2 linked regions of the Arabidopsis thaliana genome follow. The protein of the gene in region 1 interacts with the protein of each later gene in a pairwise test. Each region holds a gene or a part of one and is shown in the gene's direction. Other genes may lie near its edges.

Region 1 (5,222 bases):
TTATATTTTTAATTTATAACTGATTCCTTTTGTTCCAATCGTCGTTCTAATTTTATCTCATCAAAAGCATGTGTCTCCATTTATGTTAAATAACATGGTAGTAGAAACTTTAAAAAGTTAATAACTAATGTTCAGTTCGAGTATCATGAAAATATCCACCGCACAGTAGTCGCCAGTTTGGTTATGTCACTCCAGACCAAGCTTAAGCCACTCCAGACACAAGGACTTGAGGCCGCATTGTAAGGAAGTGTTGCAATCGTTGCATCATCTACTGGAAGAACCTCAAGAGGATCCTCTAAAGGCTTAGGACTAGGAGTAGGTTTTTGATTAGAAGAGGATGGGTTGTTAGGTTGAATAATGGGTGTATTATTCTCTAGAAAAAACTACAAACCAAAGTCTCAAACGTACGTAAGAAGTTAAACTAAAAGAAAAAAGACAAAACGTGTGTAAATATATCAAACTAAGATGAGCAAAGAAAGTAAAGGAAGGAAGCAGAGTCCAATCCAAACATTAGAGTTTGAAGCTGCACTATGTGGAGCTGGTGATGGTCCCATCTGATACTGTACTGGAGCATGATTAACCGGTGACTCAGCCAACGGAGACTGTGAAGGAGACGAAAAAGAGCTTGGTGGTCGGACGGGTCCAGGAACCGGAGCAGCGACAGGTCCCAATGAGGCTGGTAATACATGGATTTGAAGCTTTTGTCCCATGTCACAGTGACCAGGAAATCCGCATATGAAGTGTTGGAGTCCCGGTTTGGTTAGAATGACGATATCAGACCCGGTCTCGTATCTTGCTAGCGGTTTGGACGGTTCACACATCTCGTAATCATTGTGAGTGACTTCGGTGACGTCGTGGAAGTCTTTGTTGTATTTGAAGACCAAAGAGTCTCCAACTTGAAAAGTTATTGTAGATGCCCATGTCTCGTAGTTGACGCTCATAATCGTCCATCCGTCGGAGTCACCAACTTTGTGAACGGTTCCTCCAACGGAAATTCCAAAAAGTGCTACAAGAATAAGCAAAGAAGTAAAGAAGGCGTTGCTTTTGATCAAAGCCATGATCGATTGTTGTTTGAAACGAGAGAATTAAGCAGCAAAGAAAGAAGAAAACAACTATGTAAGAGATATTATAAAGTTTTGAGTTTGTGTTGGTGAGAAGTTGAGAGAGCACTACGTTGTTTATATAGACCCGAGGTCTCGTTTAAGGTAACCCTTTTCTCTTTAAGAATTTGACGATTTTATATGTTTTTCTAAATCAAAAATATATTATATTTTGATAATTCCTAGTGATAATTGTTAAGGTCATTTTTTCCCTTTTTGTTAAATATATCCAGAAATTTATTAATTCTTAAAGGTATTAATTTATTGAGAGATTATAATAATTTTGTAATTATTTTTAAAAAATTATCTCATAAGAAGTTTTTTTTTGTAATTAATATCTTTATAAAATTATATTACTTATTAAATTTTAAAAACACACAAACTTTCTCGATGTAATAAAATATTAGAAATGAACTATTTCGAAAATTAATACAAATTTAAGAAAAATATCATATTTAATTTTTACCAATTGTTTATTTCACCAATTGTTAGAGTCATATTTAGGGTCTAATTTATACTCCCTCCGTCCCATGAAGATGGATTTTTTAGAAATTTCACATTCTTTAAAAAATAATATATAATGACAATTTTAATCTCTTAATACTATTTAAAAATAATTATTACCATTTATTTAATTATTTAATAAGGGTAAAATAGGTAAACAGTTCTAAAAATTACATTGGAAATATAAAAAATTATTTTTGTGGGACAAATTTTTTTCCTAAAAAATTTATTTTTGTGGGACGGAAGGAGTATTCTTTAACACACATACAACGATTAGGATTTATATACAAAAGATATTATCTTCTTTTAATTAATTAATTAATTTATTTTTATTTATTTATTTATTTTTTAATTATTGTAAGTTAAGATTCCATTTTCGCATCTTTTTTTTTCCGAATTTCCTTTTTTGTAACATTTTCTCAAATTTTTAATGAAATGTTTGTTTTTTTGGTGGGAATATTTAATGAAAATATCACGAAGTCCAAAATTGCCACAAGCTGAGATTTTTATTTTATTTTGCATCATCATCATCAATATCATTCATCATCATCAGACATCAGGTGCGTCATAAGCTCCACAAAAAACTCATCCATGGCGATTCTTAGTTACATCTCAGCAACATCAACCACACCACCAATTCCTCAAGATCAATCTCCCAATTCTCGTCTACCAACCAAAATCATTCTACCCAATAAGAAACCTGAGAAATGGTCCACCGGAGTTGCTCCCGGAGAGTACGGTGGTCCTCCGACTACCACCAAGCTCCGAAAGTACTGGGGAGGTGAAAAAGAAGATCCCATTACTTCCACAGACTTAATCTGGAACAGAGATTTTATGGATCAAATGAAGAAATTGTTTGATGATCCTAATGATTCTTCTCTCGACCCATCTCCTTCAAAGGTTCAATCTTTATCCCCCCAAATTAGCTCAACTTTAAGGTTTCACTAAATCTCTTTAAGGTTTTGTGATTGCTTACAGGAAAAGTCTTCTGGGTTTCTGAGCTTTAGCAGAGTTATGAGTCTTGACAGGTTCATTCTCCTTTAAACTGATAAAAATTAGTTTTTTATTTCTTGCATTTTGATTAATGGTTGATTTGTTTGTTGTTGTTATCTGTGGAAAATTAGTATGGATGTTGATTTAAGTAAAGAGCTTGCATCGTCTTCTAAATCCGTTGTGAAAAATCGTCTTGACACCTCCAAGTCAGAAGCTAAAAAGCAAATGGTGAGAAGCCAATTTGACAAAGCCACATTGCTATTTCTTTATGTCTCTGAAGTTTACTCTTTTTTGTCAATATCATTAGAGTAAGGCTATTGTGTCTCCTAAATGGAAGCTGGCACCTACACGTCGTGAGCAAGAGAAATGGGATAGAGCAACGAAGGCTGCAACTGGTGGCAGTGTAAGTTTATCTTTGCAATTGATGGATCACTTGTGCTTTGATTTATTAATTCTATACCAATTGAAATGTCATTTTCATTGTAAACATTGATCAGAATTGGCAAAAATGGATCTTCTTGGTTCTTAATTCCTTCCTTCATTTCTAATGTGTGCTGCAGGATGTGATGTTTAGGGAGCTGAGACGGCCACGTGGTGACCCAGAAGTACAAGCTGCTAAAGACAGGGAACAATATTTTAAGGTACCTTCTTTGGTTAGCTAATCCTTTCATGGTATGACAAATATCATGTATTGCTATCTCATGAAAAGGCAGCTTGTATAAGCACTACTCTTTACCTTCATGGGCAACTCCGTTACTTTTGAAGCATTCAGTTCCTAGTCTCTTGACTTTTGGATTGTTTTCTGCAGCTGAAAAATAAGATTCAGGTTCTCACACTCGGTATTGGTGGTGTTGGTTTAGTCTCAGCTTATATCTCATACACCCCAGAGATAGCACTTAGGTTTGTCTTCTCATGCAATGAACATCAAAATCTCGTTAAGGACTTTTTAAATCAATCTTAATTTGTGTTGAATATTTTGTTACAGTTTTGGTGCTGGCTTGTTGGGTTCACTTGCATATATGAGGATGCTTGGTAACTCTGTAGATGCCATGGCAGATGGAGCCAGAGGAGTTGCCAAGTACTATATGTTTCTCTTCAAATTCTTATCAGTTATCTATGTTGAGACCACTCACTCACTCACTTATCTCTTTTGTTCTTTGGTCTTACTGAATTGATTTTATAGAGGTGCAGCTAACCAGCCACGGTTACTAGTCCCCGTTGTGTTGGTTATGATATTCAATAGATGGAACGCGTAAGCACCTCTCTCTCCGTTTTGCATTATATATCTTTCATCCAAAATCAACTTGGTTACATCAATCATATTTACTTGTGACTTCTTCATATATTGCAGAATACTTGTTCCTGAGTATGGATTCATGCATTTGGAGTTGATACCAATGTTGGTTGGGTTCTTTACTTACAAAATTGCTACGTTCTTTCAAGCTATAGAAGAAGCCATCTCCATTACTACTCAAAAACCCGAATCAATCTCTCCAGACACACAGGCCAGTGATTAATAAGGTCAAGGTCAGTGTTGTAAGAAATGTAATTAAACACAGAAGTGTTAATGTAATAAAAACTAATAACTCATAAACTCATTCATACCAGCAAATCACCAAGAGATAGATAGCTAGAACATATAAAGCAAATGCAGAAAGAGTGAAACATAGAAAGTTAATGACTTTGAAATTTTTAGACCAAACCGGGTCCAGTGTTGGTTTGAGTGTATTCTTCGTTGAGTTTGCCTTCGTAAACATAACCGAGCTTCTCACAACACTTCTTAATCTCTTTGACATCTTTCTCCGAGCAAGTATCATCGGAAACAACAACGGTCGTTTCGTTTTCTCCCGTTTCATATTTGGCAACTGCTTGATGATTCAGAACTGCAATCTTGACGACCTTGTCGTCTCCAAAAGTAGTGCAAGAAATTACTCTAGCTTCCATTTCTTTATTATTGTCTTTGGGTTTATTACTCTGCTTTTTGGATAGGAATAATAAAGAGTATAAGGGTGATGGATGGTTTATATAGAGAACAATCATGTGAATGATAATTAATGGTCAAATCACGAAACATGTATGCATGTAAAAAACTGTAAATGGACCACCAGATTTGGTTATTATTTGAACAATAAAGTTGAATCCCTGAAATTGCTTCATTTTACATGACTCAAGTTTTCCAGTTCTCTATCTTAGAAAGTGAATGCCACAACAACAGTATAGTGTTAAGGCACAATTTCCTATAGTTGTAGTAGATATATGTTTTACCTTAGGCAACCAGAAGAAAAAAAAAAAAAAGTGTTAAGAGTTTTATGGTAGATCGCAAGCAGAAGAAAATATAATATAATTTTTTTGTATCAACAATCATTTATTTGTTCTCATTAGTATATACATATGTATAGCTTAAAAATCAAGGTTATGGCTATGATACCAGATGGTGTAGATAACACATATATTTTTGTTTAGTCTAAGAATGTCCAAGAATCTATGTTATCTTATTCCGTTAAGAACTCTCAAGTTCTAGCCACAACAAGTATTTAAGAGTTGAAATGCTCTTTGATTTAATTAAATAATGCCGTGCCTTTACAAAGCTATCGACTATATATAACAAGATACCAAACCTAATCC
Region 2 (3,838 bases), on another chromosome or scaffold:
CAAAACTAAAATATAAAATTTAAGTAAATAAGTAAAAAAAAAGGGGGGGTCTTGAATCAAAATAATTTAAAGTTCTTATTTCTGTCAGAGGGCAATATGAATGTTTTATCATGTTCCATCAACACACTAATAAAAGAAGGGTTATATGAGATATCTGGTGTAGAAGTAGGCCAACATTTCTATTGGCAAATAGGGGGTTTCCAGGTCCATGCCCAAGTTCTTATTACTTCTTGGGTTGTAATTGCTATCTTATTAGGTTCCGCAGTTCTAGCGATTCGCAATCCACAAACAATTCCAACTGACGGCCAAAATTTCTTTGAATTTGTCCTTGAATTCATTCGAGACGTGAGTAAAACCCAGATTGGAGAAGAATATGGTCCATGGGTTCCCTTTATTGGAACCCTGTTTTTATTTATTTTTGTTTCTAACTGGTCAGGAGCCCTTTTACCGTGGAAAATTATCCAGTTACCTCAAGGGGAGTTAGCAGCACCAACGAATGATATAAATACGACGGTTGCTTTAGCTTTACTCACATCAGTAGCCTATTTTTATGCGGGGCTTAGCAAAAAAGGATTAGGGTATTTCAGTAAATACATTCAACCAACCCCAATTCTTTTACCCATTAACATCTTAGAAGATTTTACAAAACCCCTATCACTTAGTTTTCGACTTTTCGGAAATATATTAGCCGATGAATTAGTCGTTGTTGTTCTTGTTTCTTTAGTACCTTTAGTGGTTCCTATACCTGTTATGTTCCTTGGATTATTTACAAGCGGGATTCAAGCTCTCATTTTTGCCACTTTAGCTGCGGCTTATATAGGTGAGTCTATGGAAGGTCATCATTAATGGTTTTTTTTTTAATATTCTTTTTTAGGTTAGCCCAATTAATTATAGAATAGTTGGTTTACATTATGTAAGAAACACTTGTATATGTGATATTTGATATTGCCTAGGTATATATGAGTTAAAGATCTATATAATCTGAATCTGCTCTACTATTTTTGTGAATTTCTATTTAGATTTAGATAGGGATTCGATTAGAAGTTCTTCCTTTTTATCTGTGAATTGGCTGAAAAAATGATAAAAAAAGAACGAAGAATTCAAAGAATGGTTCATAAAAAAAATGGCATAAAAAAGTCGTATATATATTATGGATTTTTAAAAATCCCGCGGATAGGAACTACTATCAAAGTAATTCTTATGATTCAATAATTTTATTATATTATTTCATATTTCAATTAAAGTTTTTGGTTTTTTTGGCTGGATTAATCTTAGCGATTACTTAATTAGAATTACGTCCTAAGTCATTGGATGATTGTATCATTAACTATTTCTTTATTTTGGTGTGAGGAACTTATCATGAATCCACTGGTTTCTGCTGCTTCGGTTATTGCTGCTGGGTTGGCTGTTGGGCTTGCTTCTATTGGACCTGGAGTCGGTCAAGGTACAGCTGCGGGTCAAGCTGTCGAAGGTATCGCGAGACAACCTGAGGCAGAAGGAAAAATACGAGGTACTTTATTGCTTAGTTTGGCTTTTATGGAAGCTTTAACAATTTATGGCCTGGTTGTAGCATTAGCGCTTTTATTTGCGAATCCTTTTGTTTAAGCCCAGAAATCACAAAATTCTGGATTTTTTTTGTAGTTTTTTTAATTCTATCAAGATTTAACTCCTACAATTATTCATTGAGACAACAATCCTTGGGAAGGACTAATTTGAGGATGGGGAATTAGCACATCGATTCGCTTTCTTCCTTCCCCTTATTCTTTTAGTTTAATAGAAACTTTTTTTTAAGGAGTGTTGCGAAAAAAGTAGGTTTAGGTTTTTTGAACTTGACATAAAACTTGGTCTCAAATTCTAGCTTAATTCTAATAAGTCTCATTATTATTATTGAAAATTAAAAATTTTGGAAAATACGTTTGTAAATAGAATAGGTTTTTGATTCTGTTTACAAATATCCAAATAGGTAAATTAAATTATTAAATTCAAATTTCTTTTTATTTTCAATAAAAAGAATAAAAAAAAAAGGACAGAGTTCCTTTTTTATAGTTTAGCTAGAAGAGGAGATTATATGAAAAATTTAACCGATTCTTTCGTTTACTTGGGTCACTGGCCATCCGCCGGGAGTTTCGGATTTAATACCGATATTTTAGCAACAAATCCAATAAATCTAAGTGTAGTTTTCGGTGTATTGATCTTTTTTGGAAAGGGAGTGTGTGTGAGTTGTTCATTTCAAGAATAGGCTGGATTCACCCAGTGGCACTATAACTAGGAAAGAGTGCATAATCCCGCGAATTACTTCTGAATAAAAAAATCATATTTGAGAACCATAGCCTTTCGTTATTCTTTGGTAAGTCCGCTTTACTTTGATTCTCTATTAACCAAAAATTGGGACAATTAATTAACATGGTTAAAGCTAAACCGTTTGAAGTTCAGATGCAACATGGTACTCTTTCTACTATATATAGTCTAAATGTAGACTAAATAAAAAAATGAATAAAATTTTCAAAAAGAATTGTTATACTTTTTTCGATATAAAACACTCATGTCGATAAAATTTTTTGAGTCTTTTTTTATAATGCAGAATTGATAACCTACGTATAAAATAATAAGAATTCTTTGGATTTCAAGAAAAAAAGAAACAACTTTGCTGACAATTATTAATTTTTCATTGGTCAGAAGAATCCTCCGAATATTTTTATCTTGGATTGGTGATCTTTTTCGATAGAAATATATATTGAATATGAATTGAATAAAAAAACTCGGGAGAGGGTAGGCTCATTGCATGAAAAAGATGGGAAGGGAAGTCTCATAAATAATTGATTGGAATAAGTGAGCATGAGAGCCAAATGAATCGAAAGATTCATGTTTGGTTCGGGAAGGGATCATAGAACTTTTTTTTTAATGAATGGAAAGATAATCTACTTTCATTAAATGATTTATTAGATAACCGAAAGCAGAGGATATTAAATACTATTCGAAATTCAGAAGAACTGCGTGAAGGAGCTATTCAACAATTAGAAAATGCCCGGGCGCGCTTGCGTAACGTAGAAACGGAAGCGGATAAGTTTCGCGTGAATGGATACTCTGAAATCGAACGAGAAAAATTGAATTTGATTAATTCAACTTATAAAACTTTGAAACAATTAGAAAATTACAAAAATGAAACCATTCTTTTTGAGCAACAAAGAACAATTAATCAAGTCCGCGAACGGGTTTTCCAACAAGCTTTACAAGGAGCTATAGGAACCCTAAATAGTTGTTTGAGTAATGAGTTACATTTACGTACTATTAATGCAAATATTGGGATGTTTGGTACGATGAAAGAAATAACTGATTAATTATTTCCTTACGATTATTATAGGCATTATTTTTTTTTCTTCCAACAAAAGAATCAGGACAATACTCATGGTAACCATTAGAGCCGACGAAATTAGTAATATTATCCGTGAACGTATTGAGCAATATAATAGAGAAGTAACGATTGTAAATACCGGTACCGTACTTCAAGTGGGCGATGGCATCGCTCGTATTTATGGTCTTGATGAAGTAATGGCAGGTGAATTAGTAGAATTTGAGGAGGGTACTATAGGTATTGCCCTTAATTTAGAATCCAATAATGTTGGTGTTGTATTAATGGGTGACGGTTTGATGATCCAAGAAGGAAGTTCAGTCAAAGCTACGGGAAAAATTGCTCAGATACCGGTGAGTGAGGCTTATTTGGGGCGTGTTATAAACGCCTTGGCTAACCCTATTGATGGTCGAGGTAAGATTTCCGCTTCTGAATCTCGGTTAATTGAATCTCCTGCCCCAGGTATTATTTCGAGACGTTCTGTATATG

Evidence for each region.
Region 2: the proteins of AT2G31040 (region 1) and atpF interact in a protein complementation assay, tested with the Arabidopsis thaliana proteins (one study listed by BioGRID).

Annotation. Positions count from the first base shown.
Region 1 is NC_003071.7:13,207,986-13,213,207, reverse strand, and holds AT2G31040 (ATP synthase protein I-like protein), read left to right. Parts: upstream 1-2,019; 5' UTR 2,020-2,195; coding exon 2,196-2,504; intron 2,505-2,582; coding exon 2,583-2,632; intron 2,633-2,728; coding exon 2,729-2,825; intron 2,826-2,904; coding exon 2,905-3,000; intron 3,001-3,157; coding exon 3,158-3,238; intron 3,239-3,405; coding exon 3,406-3,497; intron 3,498-3,582; coding exon 3,583-3,675; intron 3,676-3,780; coding exon 3,781-3,849; intron 3,850-3,948; coding exon 3,949-4,114; 3' UTR 4,115-4,289; coding exon of another isoform or gene 4,290-4,541; 3' UTR 4,542-4,584; downstream 4,585-5,222. Other genes in the region: AT2G31050 (Cupredoxin superfamily protein), read right to left, coding at 456-1,058; AT2G31035 (oxysterol-binding-like protein), read right to left, coding at 4,290-4,541. UniProt on the Arabidopsis thaliana protein: Facilitates the assembly of the membrane proton channel of the chloroplastic F-type ATPase. Specifically required for the efficient assembly and integration of the CF(0) subunit c into the chloroplastic ATPase complex in the thylakoid membrane.
Region 2 is NC_000932.1:11,029-14,866, reverse strand, and holds atpF (ATP synthase CF0 B subunit), read left to right. Parts: upstream 1-2,068; coding exon 2,069-2,213; intron 2,214-2,928; coding exon 2,929-3,338; downstream 3,339-3,838. Other genes in the region: atpI (ATP synthase CF0 A subunit), read left to right, coding at 97-846; atpH (ATP synthase CF0 C subunit), read left to right, coding at 1,360-1,605; atpA (ATP synthase CF1 alpha subunit), read left to right, coding at 3,406-3,838. UniProt on the Arabidopsis thaliana protein: F(1)F(0) ATP synthase produces ATP from ADP in the presence of a proton or sodium gradient.